Linked DNA regions of Rhinolophus ferrumequinum. Each later gene encodes a partner of the first gene's protein in a complex. Links are inferred from orthologs where the notes say so. Each region holds a gene or a part of one and is shown in the gene's direction. Other genes may lie near its edges.

Region 1 (11,559 bases):
GCTAGCAGGAGCTACGAGTGGAGGGAAGGAAGAAGCGCTGTGCTCTGCTTCTGGCAGTGCTCTCCGTTGGGGGACTGCCTGCAGGGGATGGCGTGCCCCTGGCCTGGGTGGGAGTCCTGCTCCCCAGCCTCTCCTTCAGAACGGCAGTGGCTGTGGGCTCCTGGGTGCTGGGCACCCCTCAGCTCTGGGTGGTGTCTCCTGCCTCTCTCTCCTCCTTGCAGCCTTTAATGACCAAGTCCCCCACTTGATTCCTCTCTGCTTGTCATATCTGAGGGCCTTCCGTCCTCAGGACTGGACACGGGCACACTGACCGTTCTCCTACTTCTGGATATTAGCGTTGTTTCCAATTGTCTTCTGTTACGAGCAATGAGGTAATGAACACCCTTCTATGGACTTCCTTAGGACAGACACCCAAAAGCAGAATTGCTAATAAAAACACACAGGTGTCCTACATTTTGATCGATATGCAAGGTGTCCTCCAGTGAGCTAGTATAAATTGGCATTCCCATTTTCACTGGATGGTAACACCAAATTCCCTAAACTCTCACCAACCATAAACAATAAGTCTTTAAAATTTTAACTGATGAGCCAAAGGCAATGTATTCTTGTTGCTTTACTGTACATTTTCTGACGACCAGTAGAATCGAGAGCCTTACAAAGTCTCTTGGCCAGTTACATTTCTCTTGTGCACTGTGACTTCATACTCATTGTCTATTTCATATGGTGTTGCCTGATTGAGTTACAATTAGCACATTCTGGACACCAGTGACTTGCTGTTATATACGTTGCAAATACTTTTATCTGACTTGCCATGGGTTTTTAATTTTTAATTTGGCTGTATTATAGTTTAAAATTTTTATTTAGTCAAATCTGTCCCTTTGTCCTCTACTGCTTCAGGTCTCATGCTTTGCTTAAGTAAACCTTCCCAACTCCAATGTATACCAAGCAGTAGTCTGTTTCCTTCTAATTCTTTTGTGTTGCTTCCTTACTTCTGTGTGTGGCATCAAGTATATTCCCCAAATGAACTTGCCCTTCAAGCTGTTCAACTGTCGTCCTCCTGACACCCCCACTCCCCACTGGGCTGCTTCCTTCTTTGTGACCGAAATCCCTGACACACTGAGGCCTAACAGAAGCTCCCGCTCTGTTCCACATCCTGTTCTGACACTGGCTCCATCACAGCAGCAGGGCTGTGAGCACGTGCTGTGGTCGCTCTCAGTTTTTAATGAGGTGCCGCCAAGTCTCCTTCGTTGCCTCTCTTTTTCAAACATTACTTGGCTCTGACAGTTTATTTTCCAGGTGAACTTCAGAATCAGTCTGTAAAGTTCCTTTTAAAACTCTAGATGGGATTTTCCTTTGGGTTGCACTAGATTAACAGGCTCATTTGAGAAGAATTGGTATTTTCACAGTGTTGATTAATCTCCTTTGGGAATAGGGTATATTTTATATTTATTTCTTGGGAAGTTAAACATACTCTTCTTCACATCGCCTACACATTTATTAGGTTGGGTTCTAGGCAGCGTAGGAGCGTCACTGCTATTGTGAATAAAATCTGTTTTCTCCTATATTTCTAATTGGTTACTGGGTGCCTAGGACGCTTTGATTTTCATACATCCAGCTTGTATCCAGGCTCCTTACTCAATTCTCTTACTAGTTCTAAGTCATTTCTCTTGGACGTTCTTCATAGGTACTCATTTTATTTGCAATATCATGGGCAAATCATGGTAGTCGGATCTTTTTTAAGAGGTGGATTTCATTTCTTTATTCTCATGCTTTGCATCGCTAGTCTTCAGCACAATGCTGGACAGTGCACCAGGCCCCCGGCACGTTCCAGGCTGCAGTAGGAACGTTCCCTGGGCCTTCCATTCGTTTCAGTTTCAACCTGCAACCAAAGCTCACCCCAGGAACTGCCACACTTGGGCAGATGCTTTCTAGTCTCTACTGATACTCAAAGTCCACATCACACACAACACGGCTGGTTACCATCCTCGTAACGCAAGTCTTACTGCTCAGTTTCCATGACCCCACAACAGTAGCAGCCTGAGGCTTATCTAGGCTAGGGGGACTCTAAGCAAAACAATACAAAATTAGGTACAAAATGAATATTTATTTAGAAAAGAATCACAATTTACATATCTAAAAGGCAGATTAATACCATAAACAACAAATATTATTTTCCTAGACTTTGTGATTTTTATCCTATAAATCCAGAAAAATAACATAACATTTGTATTGTCTGAAATACCTCTATGATGTGTTTCTGCTACATTATCTACTGTATACTCTTTGAGCATTTCTTCAGATTACATTTTCATAATTTATACAGAAAGGTTGACTGAATTAAAAAATGTTTTTTATCATTGATGTTCACAGCTTCTTATTGTTCACAACTTTCTTCTTCTTAAATGTTCACATCCCGTACATTTAAAATTCACTGTAAATTTGGGAAACGCTCGATCAAATTTACTCCACATACAAGGTTCCACTTGCTTAAGAAGTGTCAAATCTTAAAAGCTCTTCAAGCGTCTCTGAAGCAGCTCGCCACCCAGGCCCATGTGGGTTGTGTGACCAGCTCGCTCGTCACTGTCGTCAGTATGAAGTGTCAAATCCGGGAGCAACACACATCTCTTCCCAACACGCTCATCGCCTCCTCCTGTCTCCACTAATGAATTACCCAACAATTCCAGACCCTCTTCACCTCTTGTATTTAACATTTGTTTCTTCCTCTTAGTGAATGGTACGATCTGAAAAATTTTCTATTATAGTTTGTGCCTTGATGTCTCAATAATTTCTACTGGTATCAGTGGTCATTTCTACTACTTTTTCATATTTTATTATCTAATATTTCCCTGTTCTTTAAAAAACAAACTTAAAGGTGGCAAAAGACAGTTTGTCCAAAGTAGGAAGGTGTAGTTTCTTATTTATATTGAAATGTTGCAAAAAAATTTGTACAAATGCAATGAGGATGACACATGCTTAACTCGGGTTTTCCACATCTGTGCTCCCTGTGGAACATTTCCCACATCTGAGACACCCTGTACTCCTGGCCAGAGAGGAAGCATAATGGAGGAGTGGAAAGAGGCTTTAACTCGACAACATATGATGATGGAACCCTTTGCTAGGTCCCTCTTGGTGCCCTGGGGGGGCCTGTACAAGTGAGGGGTGCCAAACCCCACTGGCTTCAGGCTGAACTGGCACCACCCGTTGGCCTCTCTGGGCCACTGGCAGCTGTCCTCGACCCCTTAGTTGACAGTGAATGCTGGATCCCCTAGTTGTCCAGGGGTCAGCTCTGGGCCTTCCCCCCACAGCATTAAGTACCCACACCAGGTTGTGATGGCCGCCACTCAGTCATCTTGAAGCCCAGTCGGTAAACCCCCGGGTGTCTCACGGGCATCCCCAAATTACTATGCCTAAAACAGTTCCAACCCACCCCAAGGTGGTCCTCTCTCAGTCCTCCCCTCTCGTAAACAGCCCCACGAAACCCTCAGCTACTGAAGCTGACACTCTGAAGTGTCCCTTCCCCTCACCCTACAGCCAACCCATCACCACCTTCAGTCCACTGTGCCTTCAGAACACTGACTTCTCTTTCCCTCTCCCCACTGGACACCCTGATGGCCTCCTGCTCGCCCCTGCCCCTGCTCTCTCACAACTGAGCCCTACCTGTGCCTCAGCAGCCAAAGGCCGTCTGTACAACTCACAGGCCGGCCGGCCCCACTGCCACCCTTGCTGGACCCGCAGGGGTTCCAAGAAGATGGGTGGGCTCCGTGAGGCCCCCTAACTGACCTTCATGGCAGCCACTCTGCACCCTGTAACTGGAGTGGTCTGACTGTGCGCTCAACACCCAGGCAAGTGGCGGCTCAGAGCAGGTTTGATTTTAATTAGAAAAGGAAATCAATGTGATGTTTCTTACACATTGGTGTCATTACCAGCTCCAGTAAGGCCTGTGTACTGAACAGAAAATCAATTCCCCTTTCTGGCCTCCCCAAGAGCCTGGGGCCTGCTCTGTTCTGAGTTGCTAACTCCATGTCAGCCACTCTCACATGCAAAGACACTGTGGGTCATACCTGTTTCTCAGAAATACCTATTGCTGAGCTTCCCAAGGGTTTGGAGTAGAAACCCAACTACAGGCTGCACTTCGTACTCCTGAAAAGAGGGAGGGTCCCATTTCCTGAGATGGTGGAAGACAGGATGCAGGACACCCCTCTGCTGAGAACTAAAGAGCCGGGTACAGTATTAAGACAAAACCCCACATGCCTACTAGAACTGCTACCGAGGCAGTGAGGAATTGTGAGGCTAACACCCAGAAGAGGGGTCAGCCCCAGGCGAATCACCAGAAGCATCTGCTGAATCAGGAAACAGTAGCTGCAAGGCTGAGAAGCTGACCAGAACTTTCTACAGATTCCCAGGGCTGCAAGAGAAGAGTGGATTTAAAGGCCTGTGTGAAGAGGATGGGCCTCCTGGAGGTTCCCCAGGCTATGGGTTGGATCCTGGAAGAGCTACACCCCAGAGAAAGAGTAAGCAGGAAACAGACCAGCCCCAGTAAGAACTGAAGCTGGACTTTAAGTGATCCCAACCCCGTCAGGATTAAGACGCTGTGATGATTGCTAGTGGCCTAACCTAGCCGTCTGCTGTGGAAGAAGAGAACATCATCCAGGGCATCGTCCAATCATCAAATTCTCTGATTTCCTAAACATAAAACGTGCAACACGCATCCATAAAAAGTAATCAGGCATGCCAGGAAGTAAGATGTGATGAAAGAGAACAGGGATGCAGATAATGGAGTGATCAGACAAGGACTTTAAAATAACTACACTTAATGTGCTCAAGGAGCCAAAAGACGTGATTCCCAAATTTAGGGAGACCTGGAAATAAAAAACAAACAAATAAATGAAAATTCTAAAACAGAAAAACTAAATTTAAGGACTCAATGAATGGGTTTGACAGCAGATTAGATAAAGGAGAATTAGTGAACTAGAAGGCAGGTCAAAAAAATTAGAATGCAATAGAATCAAAAGGATATACAATCTAGTAAAGAGCAGAAGAGACATGTGGGATACAGTGAAAAAGGCCAAGCATATTTATAATTGGAGTTCTAGATGAAAAGCAGAAAGAGAATGGGAATCCAACACATCTAAAGAAAGAAGAGCTGCAAATTTCCCAAAACTGAAAAAAGATACCTACAGGTTCTAAAAGCACCATGAGCATCGAGAAGGATAAATGCAAGGAAAAATACATCCAGGCACAGTACAGCAGGACCGCTTATCTGCAGGGGATCCATTCCAAGGCCCTCCGTGGACTCCTGAAGTCACAGACAGTACTGAACCCTACAAACACTGTTTTTTCCTATACATATATACCCATGATAAAGTTTAATTTATAAATTAGATACAGAAAGAGATGAATACCAATAACTAATTGGTAATAAAATAGATCGATTATAATATACTGTAATAAAAGTTATATGAATGTGGTCTTGCTCTCTCTCAAAATAGCTTATACTGTACTCACCTTTTCACTTAAAGCAAGCATTTTATGGCCTTCCTTTGGCACATCTGAATTCCCAGCATTACTAGTTTTACGCTTTGGACCATTATTAGTAAAATAAGGGTTAAACACAAGCAATGCGATACTGTAACAGTCGATCTTATAACTGCGAAGGCTACTAAGTGGCTAATGGGCAGGGGGTGTTTACAGCACGGAGACACCAGACAAACGGAATGATTCACATCCTGGGAGGGGCAGAACGAGATTAGAACAGCGCACAACTTAAACCTCATGACTTGCTTATTTCTGGAATTTTCATTTAATATTTTTGGACCATGGTTCGTCACAGGTAACTGAAAGCACAGAAAGTGAAACCTTGGGTAAAGGGGGACTGCTGTATAGAACTGCTGACTGAAAATAAAGAGAAAATCTTTAAAGCAGCCAGGAAGACATGCCTTCTTCAAAGGAGCAACAATAAGACTGACAGAAAGTGTGGAAGTCAGAAAACAATGGAATAACATCCTCAGAGTGCTGACAGAAATAACTGCAAACCTGTAATTCTATACCCAGTAAAAATGTCCTTCAAAAACAGAGGACACACAAAGAAATTTTCAGAGAAACAAAAACGGGTAGAATCCATCACCAGTAAACTTACATACAGCAAATGCAGTACTGGATGGAAGGTATCCTCCAGGGTTTCTAGCTGTTCTGCTCAATGTTGAACCCTCAGCACCTACAACACGACCCAGCACAAAGGCGCTACTCAGTAAATACTGAATGAGTGCATTTAGGAAGACAACTGTCAACAGTCACTGACAATGTTACAGGAGTGAAACATGACTCAGACTACAAATGTTGCCGTAACGAATAACATTGACTCTTTCCTACAAAATCACGTCTGTCTACCTGTCTATCAAAGTACATTTCTCTCCAGCCCTACGACGCGCCGCAGAGGCCTGTTGTGCAAAATCTTGAGACCTAGACTAAGACTTGGCTCCAAGTCACGGAACCCACGTCCTGCCCGCCGCGTTAATGCCACGACCAGGCCCCGAGAGGCGAGCTCGAGCCCGGAGGCCGGGTCCTCACCACGTCCATATCCAAGGCCCGCTCACCTCACGCGCCCGTCGGTCCATCAGTCCCAGCGCAGCCGCGTGGGAAACGGGGAGGGCCACGCCTGGACCACGACTCCGCCCCACCACCACGTGGGTGCGCCGAAACCCGCCACTTCGCTACGCAGAGCCGGCGCCCGCCCCACGCGAGGTCCAGCCTCCGCCGACCAGACCACGCCCCCACCGCTCGTGGCGACCCGGCAGACCTCGCCCCGCTAGGCCCGCTCCATCCCCCCGTCCTAAGTGGCCGTCTGCCTCCTGGTTACAGGCGAGTGACAGTCCGCCGTCGCCTCGAGGTCAGTCACTCCCGCAGTCCGACAGCCCGTGCGCCCGTCCGACGGCCGGCCAGCCTGGGGCCAGCCCTTACCAGCGCCGGCTTTGGTGGGGTCGCCTGCGGACGCGCGCCAGCTGCTGCTGCGGCCCTGCTGCCACGGCTGGACGGGCGCTCGTGAGGCGGGGCGAAGGCGGGTAGGCGCGGGAATTGTGGGGACCGGGGACACCCGGACCGGCACAGGCGAGGTGGGGCCGCGCACGCTGAGGCCGCAGCGCCGCCCAGCGGACGTCGGCGCGCACGGAGGACGTCAGAGCGCCCGAGTGCGCCGCCGCGCGTGCGCACCCGCCACCAAGCCTACTCCCGAGGCACGCTGGGAGTCCGGCGCGGAGGCGTCGTCTGCGCTTGCGTGGTCCGCGATCGGTGGGTCTTCCGCAGCGCGCTCGTGAGGTCCACCCTGATCCCCTTGTCAGTTGGTGCCCAGCAAGCTACTGTCCCAGTTGAGTCACACTTTACTTTATTCCCGCAAAGAACCGACGACCCCAGCAACCAGTGGGGTCCTCATCCCACATCCGCAATGTGCTGCCCCCTGGCGGCCACGAAGATTAGGCCAGGTCTGCCGTGAGCACTGCGACGTTGGTGGGGGATATTCCAGGCCCGTCCCAGCCAGTGTGCTGTCGCTGTGAGGGACCTGCCTGACCCTGCCCCGCCACTCCGGCATTCCGGATTCCCTTTTATTATGCGTTATTTCCCTCCTTTGCACTTCCCACATTCTAAATACTATTAATTTACTTTTGAGTTCCCTTCGTCACTCTGGAGCTTGAGCTCCACGAGGGCTGGCTGAGACCTTTGCCTTGCTTTGCCCTTGGATGTAGCCCAAGAACGGTGCCTGGCACACAGTAGGTGTTCAGTAGCCGTTGGTTGAATTGATGAATTCCTGAGCGATGAGGACTCGTGGAACATCCCTGTTCTAACAAGTGTACAAGTCAGGAGGGGACGCTCTTGAATAAGTGACTGCAGCCGCTTGACAGACACGCGCGGCAGCTCTGGGCGCCCACGGAGGTGACCTGCCAAGGCAGTGTCCACCTCAAGAGTTGTTCAAGCATAATGCTATACGTCCTGATGTGCAAGTTTAAAAAATTAAGCAATGCACCCTCCGAGGTCGTTCCGTGTCAGTATAGTTTTGTTACCTAGCAGAGTATGGATGTGTCGTAAATTATTTAACCATTTCCTGCTTATAGACCTTTAGATTGTTTCCAGGTTTGGACGGTTACAAAAGGCTGCAAAAAGACGTTTTGAACGTGTCTCCTGCGTTCATGCATGAATAGGTCTCTTGATTGATACGGCGAAATGGGTGTGTGCGTGTTTTACATAAGACACATTGCGCTCCCAAAAGCCTGACGAATTAATTACAGTCTCACCCATGTCAGCACGTCCACAACAAACAATCGTCAATCTCTCCCACTTCCAGTCTGGTAGCAAAGAAGTGTCGGGTATTTTGTTTCTGCCCCGGAACCGGCCTGGTGCTGGGAGGAGGCGGAAGAAGGGAGACGCGCCGCGGTCTCGGTGGGGGTCGCCCCCTCCCGCGCGCCTGCGCCCCTCTTGGCGAGCTGGCCCGTGCCCTGCCTGTTCTGGCAGATAAAGCCGAAAGGCCCATTGGGGCCAGAAAGTGGAAAATCATATGTGGACGCGGAGCTTGACGCTGGGCTCCGCGGAATGCGGCGACACTTAATTAGAGGCGATGGCTCGGCGCGCGTCTCGGAAAGAGCCGCTGGGACAGGCCCTCCCCGGGGCCAGTGCCCGCCGCCCCGCCGGGACCCCGCCCCGACCGGCGGCCCCGCCCCCAGTCCAGGCCGCAGCAGCTGGTCGGGTTTGCGGCGGCGCGGCGCGAGGTGAGTTGCAGATTCTGGGGTTCCCGGGGTTCGAGGGTCCTGGGGTCCGAGCGGGCCAGGTTGCGGGGGACCTTCTGCGGCGCCCCCTGGCGGAGCGGGCGAACTCGGGCGACACTGCGGGCGTGTTCTGGGGCCCGAGAAGGGCGCGGCCGGGCGCCGGGGACCCTGTCCGAGCGCCGTCTGAGCGCGGCCCGTTTCTTCCTAGAGTGACCGCGCCGACCCCAGCCCGAGGCCACCCGGAAACACGCGGAGCCTCGGGCCGGCGCGGAGGGCGGCGGCGGCCCTGGGCGGCCTCGCGCGGACCCCCGTTCGCTCCCGGCTGTTCCCCGCGCCTCGCAGAGGTAACCTGCGGTCCAGGGCTACCCTGCTCGCGGCTCAGTGACCCGGAAGACATAGGGACATAGGCCGTGGGCGCTGCCCCGGTGAAGGCCTAATCCCATCTCGTGCCCTCAGGGCAGGTCCTGCTGAGCTGCTAGTTGTCACACTTGAAACCACTGATTAGGGGCGTTGTTCTGCTCCTGGACCCCAGACTTGGGACCCTAGGAAGCAGCCCAGCTGGGGGACTGACTCCCAGTGAGGCGGTGGGCCTGAAATGTGCTTGTCCAGGTTTAGATTAGGGGCCTTTAACCGGGGCATCTTTTGGGCGATGTTGCATGTTTTCATGGGGTTCTCAAAGGGATCATTGAGCCCCAGAAATTAAGAAATGTCTTCCTGGCCCAAAGGCCCAACCAGGGGGACACCCCAATGTCTGGTTAAGCCTGGGCCCAGGAGGGCTCAGAATCAGCAGGCCGGTCCATGACTGAAGATTCTGAGTCAGGGTTTGGGTGACCACACCCTGGGCTCCCAGCAGGGGCGGATACGCTTTTGCTCACATGCTCTGGCTACGGATTGGGTAGACTCAACTCCTCTGTGTGACAGTTGGGTGACATGGCCAGTCCCAGATGCCCTCACCTCAGTTTCAGCAGGCCCATCTGCTGGGATCAGCAAACATGAATTTTTCCTGCTGGCCGTCACTCAGGAGTGGAAGTGGAGCATTGGCCTGGGCCACTCTCCCCTCTGTGGGCTCCATTCAGCAAAGCCAGGCAGTGCCAAGCTGGCACACAAACATGTGAGGCACTGTTCTCAGGAACCCGGGGATTTCAGGGAGCCAGGTCCTCACATGGGGCTGAGTCATTCTGTTGGGCAGGGCCATTTTAAAGGGCAGCTCAAATCGCATCACTTCCAGGACTTTCTGCAGCACCTGAATGAAAGCCAACTCCCTGCATCTCAGCACCCAGGGCTCTTCTCCCAACCCCACCTTCAGGGCCTCAGGTTACTGTGTATTCAGGCTCCGGCTGGTCCCTGGTGAGCTTAGGGCCTTTCACCTGCTCCCAGCCCGCCTGCTGGACCTCTGGCTTCCCAGACCTGAGACCGGTTGGCTCACTCCTCCCCCTCCCGTCTTCCACCTAGAAAACCCCGCCTCTCTCATCATGAGTGTGGACATCCACTACGAGCAGCTGAGTGACGACCAGTGGAGGGAGCTCCTGCCTCGGATGCAGCAGCAGCAGGTGGTCAGGTAGAGACGCCCTTGCCCACGCCCTTGCGGGGTGGCCGGTGGGCTGGGGGCCCACGAGTGGGCGTGCTGGGCTCTGAAAGCTCTCAGCTCGTGGACACACAATGTAGACTCTGTGTCACATGGTGTGAAAGGTTATTCTTGTATTTTACCCAACCATTTAAAAACGTGAGCCTGTTCCCAGGTGGGCGGAGTGGCCGGCCAGGGTCTCTGGCTCGGCTCCTTCCTCAGGGACGCAATCACGTCAGTTGGCTGCGTGCAGGTGTGGCTTGTCCCTTCGCTGCCCGTTCTCACACAGCAGTTCCTCAGGCTTCACAACAGATACCTGCCTGCTTGTCTTAAACTTTTGGACGTAGATTGAGGTTCACAGAAGAGTTATGAAGATGCTTTGGGGGCTCTGTGCCCCTCGTCCCGTGTCCCCTGAAGTCAGTGCCCCATCACCTGGGCCACTGGTCAAACTGAGGAGCCCAGTACAGCCACCTTGACTCCGGTATCACCAGCATTCCCAGTCAGTGCAGGATCCCACGGACCATTTGTCGTCAGGTCTCCTTGGCCCCCTCCCATCTGGGACGGTCCCTGTGTCCCTCTTTGTCCTTGGTCATCTGCCTCGTGGGTCAGCTCCAGTCTGGAGAAAGTCCCTCTGATGTCTTCTTGTGGCTGAGTCACATATTTTTGGCAAGAATACATAGAAAAGATGCTGTGTCCTATCTGGAATACTGTGTTGTGGGATGTATGGTCACGATGGCACCGTATGGTCACTGCTGTCACGTGACCACCTGTTAGGTGGGGGTCTGCCGGTTCTCCAGGACTGTTTTGCCCTTTGGAACTGGTAAATACGTTGGGTGATGTGCCTTGACTCTGCTTGTGTCCTTTTCTGTTCAGTGTCCCTCCTGAGGTTGGCCTCCCTCGGGGGGTGTTGCCAGAATGGTCATGACTGGGCCTTCGTCTGACTGGGCCTTTGTCTGACTGGGGGTTTTAGTGTCTTTATTCCTTGCCATTTTTCATTTGTCCCCTGACCCCATGTTGACTCCATCTCCCACACAGCTGGGTGGACTCTGTTTGGCTGGGTCACGCTGCCCACGCTGCTCCTTGCAGGCCTGGCTGTGCTGACCGAGTCCCTCCCTGGAGACTGGCCAAGGCTTTGGCGCTGGTCAGGTGTGGAGAGCGTTGGGCGCCCCAGCCATCACAACCTGCAGAGTGACCGACATGACCGTCTGGGTGTCCTGTCCGCAGGCTTGTTGACTGTGGCGTTAC
Region 2 (11,307 bases), on another chromosome or scaffold:
AGGTATCACACTCCCTGACTTCAATTTATACTATAAAGTGACAATAATCAAAACAGCATCGTATTGAGAGAAAAACAGACACACAGACCAATGGAATAGAATTTAAAACCCAGAAATAAACCCACATGTATAAAGGCAGATAACGTTCAACAAAGGAGCCAAAAAAATACAATGGAGAAAAGAAAGCCTCTTCAATAAATGGTGCTGGGATAATTGGAAAGCTGGGAAAATTGTAAAGCCATGTGCAAAAGAATGAAACTAGACTGCTATCTGTCGCCATATTCCAAAATTAACTCAAAATATATCAAAGATATAAACATAAGACCTGAAACAATAAATTGATCAGAAGAAAGCATAAGTTCTAATCTTATGGACCTTGGGTTCAGAGAGCATTTTATGGATTTGACTTCAAAGACAAGGGAAATGAAGCAAAAATAAGTGAGTGGGATTATATCAACCTAAAAAGCTGCACAACAAAAGAAACCATCAACAAAACAAAGAGGCAACCAACTGAATGGGAGAAAATATTTGCAGACAATGCCTCTGATAAGATCTAATACCCAAAATATATAAAGAACTCATACAACTCAACAACAAAAAGACAAACAATCCAATTACAAAATGGACAGAGGACTTGAACAGACACTTCTTCCAAGAAGACATACAAATGACCAACAGATATATGAAAAAATGCTCAACTTTACTAGCTATTAGGGAAATGCAAATCAAAACCACAATGAGATATCACCTCATACCTATTAGAATGGTTATCATCAACAAGACAAGTAATAACAAGTGTTGGAGAAACTGTGGAGAAAAAGGAACCCTCATACATTGTTAGTGGGGAATGTAAATTGGTATAGCTACTATGGAAAACAATATGGTAGTTCCTCAAAAAAATTAAGAATTACCGTACAACCCAGAAATCTCTTTTCTGGGTATCTACCCCAAAAATCTGAAAACATTTATTTGTAAAGATACATGTACCCCTATGTTAATTGCAGCATTATTCATGGTGGCCAAGACATGGAAACAACCAAAGTGTTCTTTGATAGATGATTGGAGAAAGATGTGGTACATATACACAATGGAATATTACTCGGCCATAAGAAAAGATGAAATACTGCCATTGGCCACAATATGGATGGATCTTGAGATTATCATGCTAAGCAAAATAAGTCAGACAGAAAAAGTCAAGAACTGTATGACTTCTCTGATATGTGGGATATAAACTGAAAGCAACAAAGGAACAGGCAAACAAAGAAACAAAAACTCATAGACATAGACAAGAGTTTAGTGGTTACCAGAGGTAAGAAGGGGGAGGTAAAAGAGGGAAAAGGGGGTCAAATTTATGGTGATGGAAGGAGAGCTGACTTTGGATGGTGAACACAATGTGCAATATATAGATGATGTATTGTAGAAATGTATACTTGAAACCTATATAATTTTACTAACCAATGTCACCCCAATGAATTTAATAATAATAAAAAAAGAAATAGTACCCATTAAGAGCTTTGAGTAAGAAAAATACATTTAAATACATTTATTTTTGTCTTGTTCTCACTGGCCATGAATCGTTTTCATTATGAAAGGTCTTTATGCACCACCGAAAACCTGTTTTCAGTCTTTTCTTCCATTAAGCATCACAGCCTCTACTGCTAGTGTCATGGAGTCTTGCATGGTTCTAAGGGGGAAATGCAGACACCTGCTCTGCTGTGGTAAGACACACTAAAGAAAGGAGCTCACTTTTCGCTCACTGAAGTACTCTGGGAGCTAGAACCTTTGTCAGATCTTTCTTCGAAGCGCAGCGTCCAGGTAGCTCTCTAGATCTGGGGAGTTTTCTCATCTTTGCTCATTTAGATTCAGAGAATTATAGAACAAATGAGTTGTAAGAGAATTTAGTGATAATCCATGCTAACATTCTCATTTTATTATTTTATTCCCTCTCTTATTTTATATATGAGGAAATTTAGAGGTAAATTAAGTTGGTTGAAGAGGTTTTCCAATTGTGGCTGAACATTTCGATTATCAGGAGAGATTTAAAAATAATGATTATCAGGTCTACCCAAGGCAAACTATATCAGAATCTCTGGTGGTGGGATGCAGGCATTACTATTTTTAACAAGCATCCAAAGGGATTTATTGAAATATCCCTCAAATTATAAGAGACAAAGCTGGGAAAAAACACTTTTTCACTGACTTCTATATTACCTGAGCTGTTTCTACTACACCATTTCTCTGTTTTTGATAATTCACCCCTCTATAGTGGCAACCACCCATTGTTGCCTCTTTATTGGAGAACTGAGCTTTTCATTTGTTTTTTTATATGATATTATGAATATTAAATATCATGACATCCTCCTCCTCCATGAAAAAGACATTCCATTTCTTCCACATCACCTTTTGATTGTGTCCTTATAGCAGATATCTTTTCTAAGGTATTCTCTCTCTTTCTAGTCAGTGCCCTTATGGCAGATATCTCTGGTCTCTTGAGACCCCCCAGCCCTCTACAATTAATTCATTTAAGATGTATTTATTTGCACAAGGTCACAAGACATAAATATGAATAAGACATGGTTTTTGCCCTTGTAAACACACAGTATAATGGAGGACACTGAGAAGAAAGAATTCCTGTGGAACTTGGGAAGTGTTATAATCGAGGTATGTATGAGATGCTGTGGAATCACAGATAATGGAACGGGCAAGGACATTACAGAACATGTAACATACTGTTTTTTTGCAGAGGAAAAATATGTTCTCTTGATCTACTATTAGAATTGAAATATTCATAACCTTTATAGAGGACAATTGATAATATCTAATGCCTTATCAAAAGCTCATGACCTCTGAACACATCTAGAGATTTATGCCAAGGAAGTAATAGGACAAGGTGTAGTGGATGCTGTGGTGTGTGTTGCAATCCCCCACTTCAGGACCAAGGCACTCATTCCCCAGCTGCTGGAGTGGTAGTGACAGCTCTCAGCCAAGTCCCTCTCAGGGAATCACCCACAGTGGCCTCAGGTAAAGCCTTCTCCCCCCGAGGCAGTCCACATCTCGTGAATGGACAATGAGGGGGTACAAAGGTCTGGCCCCTTTACCTTAATTTGGGACAACTCTGAAGGATCACTCTAGCTCTAGAGCTTCCTGTGGGATTGGCTGAGACCTTCATTGTGACTGCATCAGAATTCAACTGCCCAGTTGTGCCTCCTTTACTCCCTTATTAAGTTTGGTCCCAAGACCACTCTCCAATAAACTTCCTGAATGCAAATCTTTCTCAGTGTCTGTTTGCTGGGGAACCTGACTCATGACATAAGAGTATAAATGCAAATGTGGATTGGTTTTTATTTTAGAATGTGTACATGTAAAAAGTTGTAAATATTATGAATGTCCAACAATAGAGAATTTGTTTAATGTATTAATGATACATCCATAACATGAAATATTATAGAGCCGTTCAGAATAGTGTAGATATTTGTTGACTTGGAATAAATGTTTAGGATGCATTTTTTGAATAAGCTTTTTGGTTGAAATATAACATACATGCAGAAAGATGAACAAATTATGTAAGTATATAGCTCAATAAATTAATCCAAAGTGAACACATCTTTGTTCACCACTATTTAAAATTAGTTTATTTTTAAATAGTCATGACAATTGTTAGTAAAATTACATAGATTTCAGGTGTACAATCCTGTATCACATCATCTATAAATTACATTGTGTGTTCACCACCCAGAGTCAGCTCTCCTTCCATCAACATATGTTTGATTCCTTTAGCCTCATCTAAGATCCCCCCGTCCCCTTTACCCTCTGGTAACCACTAAACTATTGTCTGTGCATTTTAAGAGAAAAGCAGAATCTGAAGCAGTATATATAGTATCCCAAATTATATAAAAACATATACATAGCATTAAAAAAAGTGTGGAGAATTACACACTAAAATGCTAATGTTTTTCTAGATGATGAAGATACAAATAATATATTTCTATTTGTTTATCAGGAATTTTAATAATTTGTATCTTTTTAAATACTTACCATCCACTTGGTAACTTGGAGAAATATATGCTAGAACTTCCTAATGAATAATTACTGACTGTTGAGTTGTTCCCAAAATTCATTAAAATTCATTAGAGTACCCTCTAATTCTATATTATAAATGCTATTACTAGATGTATCTCTAATTTCTGGGTCTCTGATAAGATTATATTCCTGAAACTTTCTATTTACCCAATGAATTGATGATGGAACCACAGAAAGGTCACCATTGTTTTTTCTTACTATAGGAATTAACATATAATAAATTAGTATATTAAATTGCAATGCTTATTCTTTATGCCACCTCAGCGATACAATTAAAAATTTAAACTTCTTCAAATGTGAATACACAGAACACATTTAATTTTTTTCATAGAAAGATAGGAGTTTGTATATTTTATTTAATATGAAAATATACAAAGTCCATATTGGGATAAAAATCCATTTCTTGCTGGTCTTTTGACAGGAATTCAGGAGGGTGGAATGGGGGGAAGATGAGAATTTTTCTCTCCCTTTCTGTGTATCTGTGTGAATGAGTTTGTTTTTTAGTTAAACCAAAGGCACTTAATTGGCGAATACAGCCACAAAAGCAATTTTGTCTATGTGAAAAGGATAAAAGTCTTAAGGAAATAGATCTTATATTAAGATCCAATCTTTCTTCCTGGGAAGTATTGAGAGGAAGATCGTTAGAAGAAGAAACACTGCAAAAAACAAAATGTTTTAACTGGGCGGGATCTTACAAAGCATCTTTCTTCACTCTTTCATTTCTCAAAAAACAATACTAAGGCTCAGAGAGGTCCCATGATTTGGCCACAGTCACTGCATGATCTACTGATGGAGGCCTCATGGCCCAGCTTGGGGAGGGGGCTGGGTTGCCAGATCAGATTGCAGTGCGTGAAGGCATCAGGACTGTTTAATCCAAAACTCAAAGCAGGTCAGCCAGTGGGGTCAGGAAGTTGGACTTTGTGACTCAATAAAAGGCTCCGCTTAAGCAGATGTGAGACTTGTCCCCTAAACTGGGTAAGGCTGGACTCTCTTCACTCGATATGCCTGAATGGACTTCCCCATCCATGTGCTTTGTCCCTTGACAATGTCTCCCAGCTTTGGGAAAAGAAGAACTGTTGTGCTCATTGCAACAGTCCTAATGATTAACACAAGGTGGAAAGCAGGAGATGGAAGACGGAAGATCCAAAAAATTTCAAAGCAAATGACTTTTCTCAAGACCTTGCTTCCTTGATGTGAGGAACTGACATGTGAGGCCTCTTAAAGAGAGGGAGGGATGCTGCTAAACTCCTGGGGGCTTCTTCCTCCTAAACAGGTTCCTCTTCTTCCAGGACCCCCAGTGGAATCAACAAATGTGTCTCAGGGACTAGAGAGCTGGGAGCCTGGACCACTCATCCTTCCTTGCCTTCTGTCTCCTCTGAAAGCTGCTCCAATGGAAGTGCCTCTGATTGTGTCTCAGTATGAGTTCCCAGTTCCTCTAACTCCACAGGTGGGGGAAGCAGCAAAGCCATCCCTGCCTTTTCCCACCACACTTCACAGCAGGAAGAGCGGTGGGAGAACTCTGGGGGAAATGCACAGCTAGAAGAGATCAATTTCACAACAAGATATTGCAGACCTTCGGGAGCACATCCCGGGGGCTGTTCCCTACCTATGGCACACCAGGCAGCATAGTGTAGTTACCACACTATCCTGGAACTCGGGGACCACACTATCCTGGAACTCGGGGACCTGAGGCAGGTTTCTGTTTCTGCTGCCCAGGTGCTGTCTGACCTTGGGCCTGCTGTGGCCCTCAGGCTCCTTCAGGCTCCTTGTGTGTTTATAGTGGGAGGACGAGAGGAAGGTCCCTTACCTTGCTTTTGTCCTTCCATTCCTTGAGTTCAGGGTAATTGACTATCTTTTACACAATGAAGTCTTTTGCAAGGCATTCAAGATACTTCTTTCTCAGGCCTACACTTTTCTCTTCTGTGCCATCCCCCACCTCCTCCTAGTCACATGGAGGAACTTGCTATTTTCTTTTTTTTTTAAAGATTTTATTGGGGAAAGGGAACAGGACTTTTATTGGGGAACAGTGTGTACTGCCAGGACTTATTTCCAAGTCAAGTTGTTGTCCTTTCAATCTTAGTTGTGGAGGGTACCGTTCAGCTTCAAGTGGTCCTTTCAGTCTTAGTTGTGGAGGGAGGGCATAGCTCAGCTCCGGGTCCAGTTGCCATTGCTAGTTGCAGGGGGCGCAGCCCACTATCCCTCGAACCGACAACCTTGTGGTTGAGAGGACGTGCTCCAACCAACTGAGCCATCCAGGAGCTCAGCGGCAGCTCAGCTCAAGATGCCATGTTCAATCTTAGTTGCAGGGGGCGGAGCCCACCATCCCTTGTGGGACTCGAGGAATTGAACTGGCAACCTTGTGGTTGACAGCCCACTGGCCCATGTGGGAATCGAACCGGCAGTCTTCAGAGTTAGGAGGACGGAGCTCCAACCACCTGAGCTACTGGGCTGGCCCGGGCTATTTTCTAAACATAGTGTTCTGCCACCAGTGTTTACTTCTCTTTCTGGACTTTTTCTTCTGTCTGAATTGCCCTCCCCTTACCCCAGTGAAAAAACTATCCTTCAAAGTCCTTCCCAAGGTAATCTTTGCTCTGAAATCTTCCTGATCCCTCCCACTCCACCCCTTTTCTCCCACTGCTTTCTAATAACCCTGTCCTTGTTTGTACCGGAGCTCTTATCAAGGTCTGGTTTGTATTACAACTCTAGGGGCTGCTTCTGTTGGGGAGAATTCTCAGCACTTGGATCTAAAATAAAGTGCTTGATTTAATTGCTTAGCTCTTCTTAGGAGAGGACAAGGTCTGTGGCTCTGATGGAGACTGCAGATTCCAGGCTCCCAGATCGCTTAGGTGCCCTGCCTTCCTCTCTTACCAGCTGTTTTCTTTCACACAGGAGTCCTGGTCAATAATGAATGCTATCAGAAGAGCTGGCACAAATGGACTGCTCTTAGGTAAGGGGTGGGGGCACTGGTGCTTGTCCTAGAAGGGAAGGGTGGGGGACGATCTCCTAAAATGGAGGAAACCAAGAGACCACTGAACCACCCAGGAGGACAAGTAATTAGGTCTTCTCCTGTCAGGAACCGTAGACACCCAAGTCTCTGTCTTTCTTCAGACACCGTGGGCAATATCTGACCTCCACTTAAGAAGACCCAGGGCTTGGAGAAGAATGTGCTCTGTCCTTGGGACTGAAGAAAACAGTTCTAGTGTCAGGAGGCTGGGAGGGGGAGATGGGAGACCAGGGCCATTCTCTGTGTGTTCTGGAGAACAGGCTATTGACTACACCTGGTAAGCTCACACAGACGTCAGGGCTGCCCCCTGGGAAAGTACAATCTGTTCCTGGTTGGCCTCAAACAAGGGCTCAGATGTTGGAACCCCTTTCTTTCCCAGTTAGATGTATGGAGACAAATGGGCTTGGAAAGAGAAATGAGAAGTCTTACAAAATGGGGATCATCAACAGGAGTGATAACCTGCACAGTCTTGAAAGCTTTTTGCCCTTGTGTAGTTGTCATGTGAGATGAAATGTTGGGGTGTGGGCAGGAGGCATAAATTGGGAGAAGATTGTACAATGTTTCGCTGGGGAAGGGGTTTCTCAGTTGAGGCCTATAAATGCATAGCTTGTGACAGGCTTGAGGGGCCATGCTGTTTGTCCCCTAAGAGATGTTTTAGCTTCATAGGATCATAAAGTCTCCCAAGTTACTACAATACAAATTGAACTTGGTCTCCGTGGAGTTAGCTCCAGAGCGTCCAGAGCCTCACTCCTGAAGAGGAGTCAGGGAAACGGTGCTTAACTTGGGAGAGGAGCAGATAGCTGCTTGAGAGAAAATGGGAGGTGTGAGTGGACCCTTGCCACACAGCCTGTCTCTAAGGAGACTCTTTGGGGCTCAGAGCCCACAGATGCAGTGTAGTTCCCATCTTACTGGACTGCCTTTGGCTCTAGGAAGATTTCAGAGATTAATTTCCAGGCATTCTGTGGAGGGGACAAAAATGCACTTCCCTTCACTTTCCTCCACACCTGGGATCAGGCCAGTCACTGATGTGTCTTTGTGATGTGATGCGATGTGATCTTGAGACCCTGCCTTGAACACTCAAGTTTGCCCTCTCTCCACACTCTTGTGCTTCCTCACATGCACATGAACAAACTTTGTCTAGTCTCCTGATCTGTCTTTTGTCAGTTAATTCTCAGGCTCCCTGATATGAACCTAAATGGATAGGAAAAGTTTTCCTCCCAGCACCCCTTAAGATGATAAGAGTACAAGGACTAAGAGACAAACGAAACATACCGTGTTTCCCCCAAAATAAGACCTAGCCAGACAATCAGCTCTAATGTGTCTTTTGGAGCAAAAATTCACGTAAGACCCAGTATAATATAATAATATAATATAATATAATATAATATAATATAATATAATATAATATAATACTGGGTCTTATATTAATTTTTGCTCCAAAAGACACATTAGAACTGATTGTTGGGCTACGTCTTATTTTTTGGAGAAACAGGGTAGGTGGAGGGTAGGGTAGTGGGTGAATTATGGGAACATTAAACTAAAAACTCATGCCATGCTATGTCTTCCTGTGACCCACTTCCACTTCAAAATTCGTACACATCAGCAAATAACATTGACCTGACTAAAGATTTTTTGGATATCATGGGGTAAAACAGTTTTAAAATTTCCTTTTAAAGAATTCTGTTCTTTCTACCAAGGTCCCTCTCTTCTCTCCTCTTCCCCTTTCCTCCCCTCCCCAGGATTTTAAAACTGCCCACTGTTTTCAGCTCAGGTTTTTATCAAAACAAAGGTCTGGAAATTATTTGACTCCACCCCCCTGTAAAAAAAAGATCACCCAGTGTTATTTAAATAGATTCCTTTGGGGGGATCTGAACAGCACCCCATGTGAATAATCACAGAACTACTACCATTTATAGATTCTTTCTAAGCACTACTTTAAGCACTCTGCTCATCTTACCTTATTTCATCCTAATAGTAAATCTAAGAGGTACATATTATCCCCATTTTAGAGACCTGGAAACTGAGGACCAGGGTAATAAATCAAGTTCTGTAACTTGCCCATTTCTTAAGATGCTAAACCAGAATTTGGCCTCAGATAGTCTAAATACAGAGCATGGAGGGAATTTTGATAATTTTCACTCAAGAGGTATCAAAATTGTCACCTAGCAAAAACAGATCTCGCTCTAGGAGGAAATTCTGCTGCTAAGAAATGTGATGCTCTCTATTTTTTCTTCAATAGGGATTTGGGATTTTGGTTTATCTTTAGTTCCTCTACTAAATTCTGACCTACAGGATGAATGGTCACTGTAGATAAGAACTGTCACAAACTTACCTTCAACATCTCAGGAGTATTAAAGTGGCCCAAACAGGGTCAGGTCACATAGAGACTTCCTTCTTCTCGACCTGTTCAAGCACTTGCCCCTTCCTTCTCCAGCTCTGGGAAGCCTTCCAGCTAGAGACGGCTGGGTACCCCTCCCTGCTCCCCCCAGGAGAGGTGCTGTTGGGAGATGTGAAATTCTGGTCAAAGCCACTCCAGGACTCCGGGGGAGGGACAGGACCTCCTTTTCCCTCCACCTCCTGTGATCCATGTTATGTGCCCTTTGCTAACTTCCAAGGGCTATTTGGTGAAAATGAGATAATAAGGAGCTGGTTGGGGTTTGAGCATCAGTGCTGTAGTGGCTCTCTCTGCTGCTCCTTGTGAACCAGCAGACAGATGTGATTCACATGGTAAGACAGGTCCCTATCAACAAAGACTCACCCTCCCCAGCAACCCTGAGAAGAGGGTGGCCAAGGTAACTCCCCACTCCTTCCTCACAATGCCCTTGTTTTCCTCTGGACTGAAACCAAGATGCTCCTCCCACCCTTCCCTTCTAGGAAGCCAAGCCGCTTTGTAATCTCCATAAAGTCCACAGTCCAGGGATCCAGCGACTGCAGAAACTGGCCTTCCACTTGCTCTCTCCTGGAATCCGAGCTAGAGACCCAGGTAGTGGTCCAAGAAGTGGATTCAGGAGCTGCTTTTGCTTGAGGGTTGGAGCGAAGGGAGCTGGGGTGAGCGAGGATAGCACTGAGAAAGCTTGGATTAGGCAAACATCAGCTCGGGCAGAGCTGGAATAGGGGATGGAGTGCTAGGGCTTCGGAGAACCCATGGGGCTGGAGAAGGATGGGGGGAGGCGAACATCTCTCTTTGGACTACAAGGCGTCCCTTTATGATGCCAGTGTCAGGCACTGGGTTGAGTTTCCTTTGTGTTCTACGACAACAGGGCTCTGTCGGCCATGATCCTCTATGTCATGGTGGTGTCAGGGACACAATTTGGCTCATGGTTTATTCAAAAGATCTTCTATTGAGCCACTAGAGCACTGAGTACAAATATATTTTATTTTTTAAATGTATTTTAGATAAAAAAAAAAAAAAACCCTCCAGTATTCAAAGACAGGACTGCCAAAATTTAGGTTACTTCCAAGGTCACCACCCAGAGGGGAGGACCTCCTCTCTGTAGCTAGTGGGAATTAAATGCTCTTGGAGAAGAGTATATGCGAGTATTCATTACTTGGAAAATCTTGCAGGAATAGGGGCATTTTTCTGACTAACCTGAAGGGAGATTGTAAAGCAGGGAGGCCACAGGTAGAGCTGGGGTTCTCTTTCTAACGTGATGCTTTTCCTCCTTTCTCCCTTTCCTGGCTAGGTAGGTTCCTCTTGGGGGAGTGAGGCCACCATGGCTCAGGAGAAGCCCCTCTTCCTGTTCCCACTGCTAGTCCTCGTGCTGCTGGTGCTGGGGTGGGTCCAGCCTTCCCTGGGGAAGGAATCGCGGGCCATGAAGTTCCAACGACAGCACATGGACCCGGACAGCTACCCCAGCAACAACCCTAACTACTGCAACCAAATGATGAGGCGCCGGGAAATGACGAAGGGATCATGCAAGCCGGTAAACACCTTTATCCACGAGCCCATCGTAGATGTCCAGGCCGTTTGCCTCCAGGGAAATGTCACCTGTAAGAATGGTCAGCCCAACTGCCATCGGAGCAGCTCCAGCATGAACATCACGGATTGTCGCCTGACGTCCGGCTCCAAATATCCCAACTGTGTGTACCGGACCAGCCAGAAAGAGAGGCACATCATCGTGGCCTGCGAGGGGAATCCATATGTGCCGGTCCACTTTGATGCTTCAGTAGAAGTCTCCATCTAAGACCAGAACAGCAAGATGCCTCGCCTCATTATTGCGTTA

Evidence for each region.
Region 2: the proteins of RNH1 (region 1) and RNASE1 are in contact, whole or in part, in a crystal structure (PDB 3TSR), measured with the Mus musculus proteins. The link is inferred for Rhinolophus ferrumequinum from reciprocal best matches to the Homo sapiens genes RNH1 and RNASE1. Residues at the interface, in NP_001165571.1 of Mus musculus: Cys7, Asp32, Thr60, Asn89, Asp117, Glu145, Tyr146, Asn174, Glu202, Trp257, Trp259, Glu283, Ser285, Trp314, Lys316, Glu340, Glu397, Ser401, Asn402, Gln426, Val428, Tyr430, Asp431, Ile432, Tyr433, Trp434, Thr435, Asn436, Glu437, Arg443; in NP_035401.2 of Mus musculus: Arg26, Glu27, Lys32, Gln36, Pro48, Thr49, Gln53, Lys56, Arg57, Met60, Asn62, Gly63, Ser64, Cys65, Lys66, Pro67, Val68, Asn92, Lys94, Asn96, Leu111, Lys112, Gly113, Asn114, Ser115, Lys116, Asp121, Ala134, Glu136, Val143.

Annotation. Positions count from the first base shown.
Region 1 is NC_046294.1:269,177-280,735, reverse strand, and holds the start of RNH1 (ribonuclease inhibitor), read left to right. Parts: upstream 1-6,498; 5' UTR 6,499-6,513; coding exon 6,514-6,886; intron 6,887-8,332; exon of another isoform or gene 8,333-8,602; coding exon of another isoform or gene 8,603-8,753; intron 8,754-8,958; exon of another isoform or gene 8,959-9,094; intron 9,095-9,969; exon of another isoform or gene 9,970-9,997; coding exon of another isoform or gene 9,998-10,097; intron 10,098-10,202; coding exon 10,203-10,308; intron 10,309-11,538; coding exon 11,539-11,559. UniProt on the Homo sapiens protein: Ribonuclease inhibitor which inhibits RNASE1, RNASE2 and angiogenin (ANG). May play a role in redox homeostasis. Required to inhibit the cytotoxic tRNA ribonuclease activity of ANG in the cytoplasm in absence of stress.
Region 2 is NC_046289.1:71,816,067-71,827,373, reverse strand, and holds the start of RNASE1 (ribonuclease pancreatic), read left to right. Parts: upstream 1-6,701; 5' UTR 6,702-6,762; intron 6,763-6,969; 5' UTR 6,970-7,027; intron 7,028-9,958; 5' UTR 9,959-10,111; intron 10,112-10,767; 5' UTR 10,768-10,797; coding exon 10,798-11,268; 3' UTR 11,269-11,307. UniProt on the Homo sapiens protein: Endonuclease that catalyzes the cleavage of RNA on the 3' side of pyrimidine nucleotides. Acts on single-stranded and double-stranded RNA.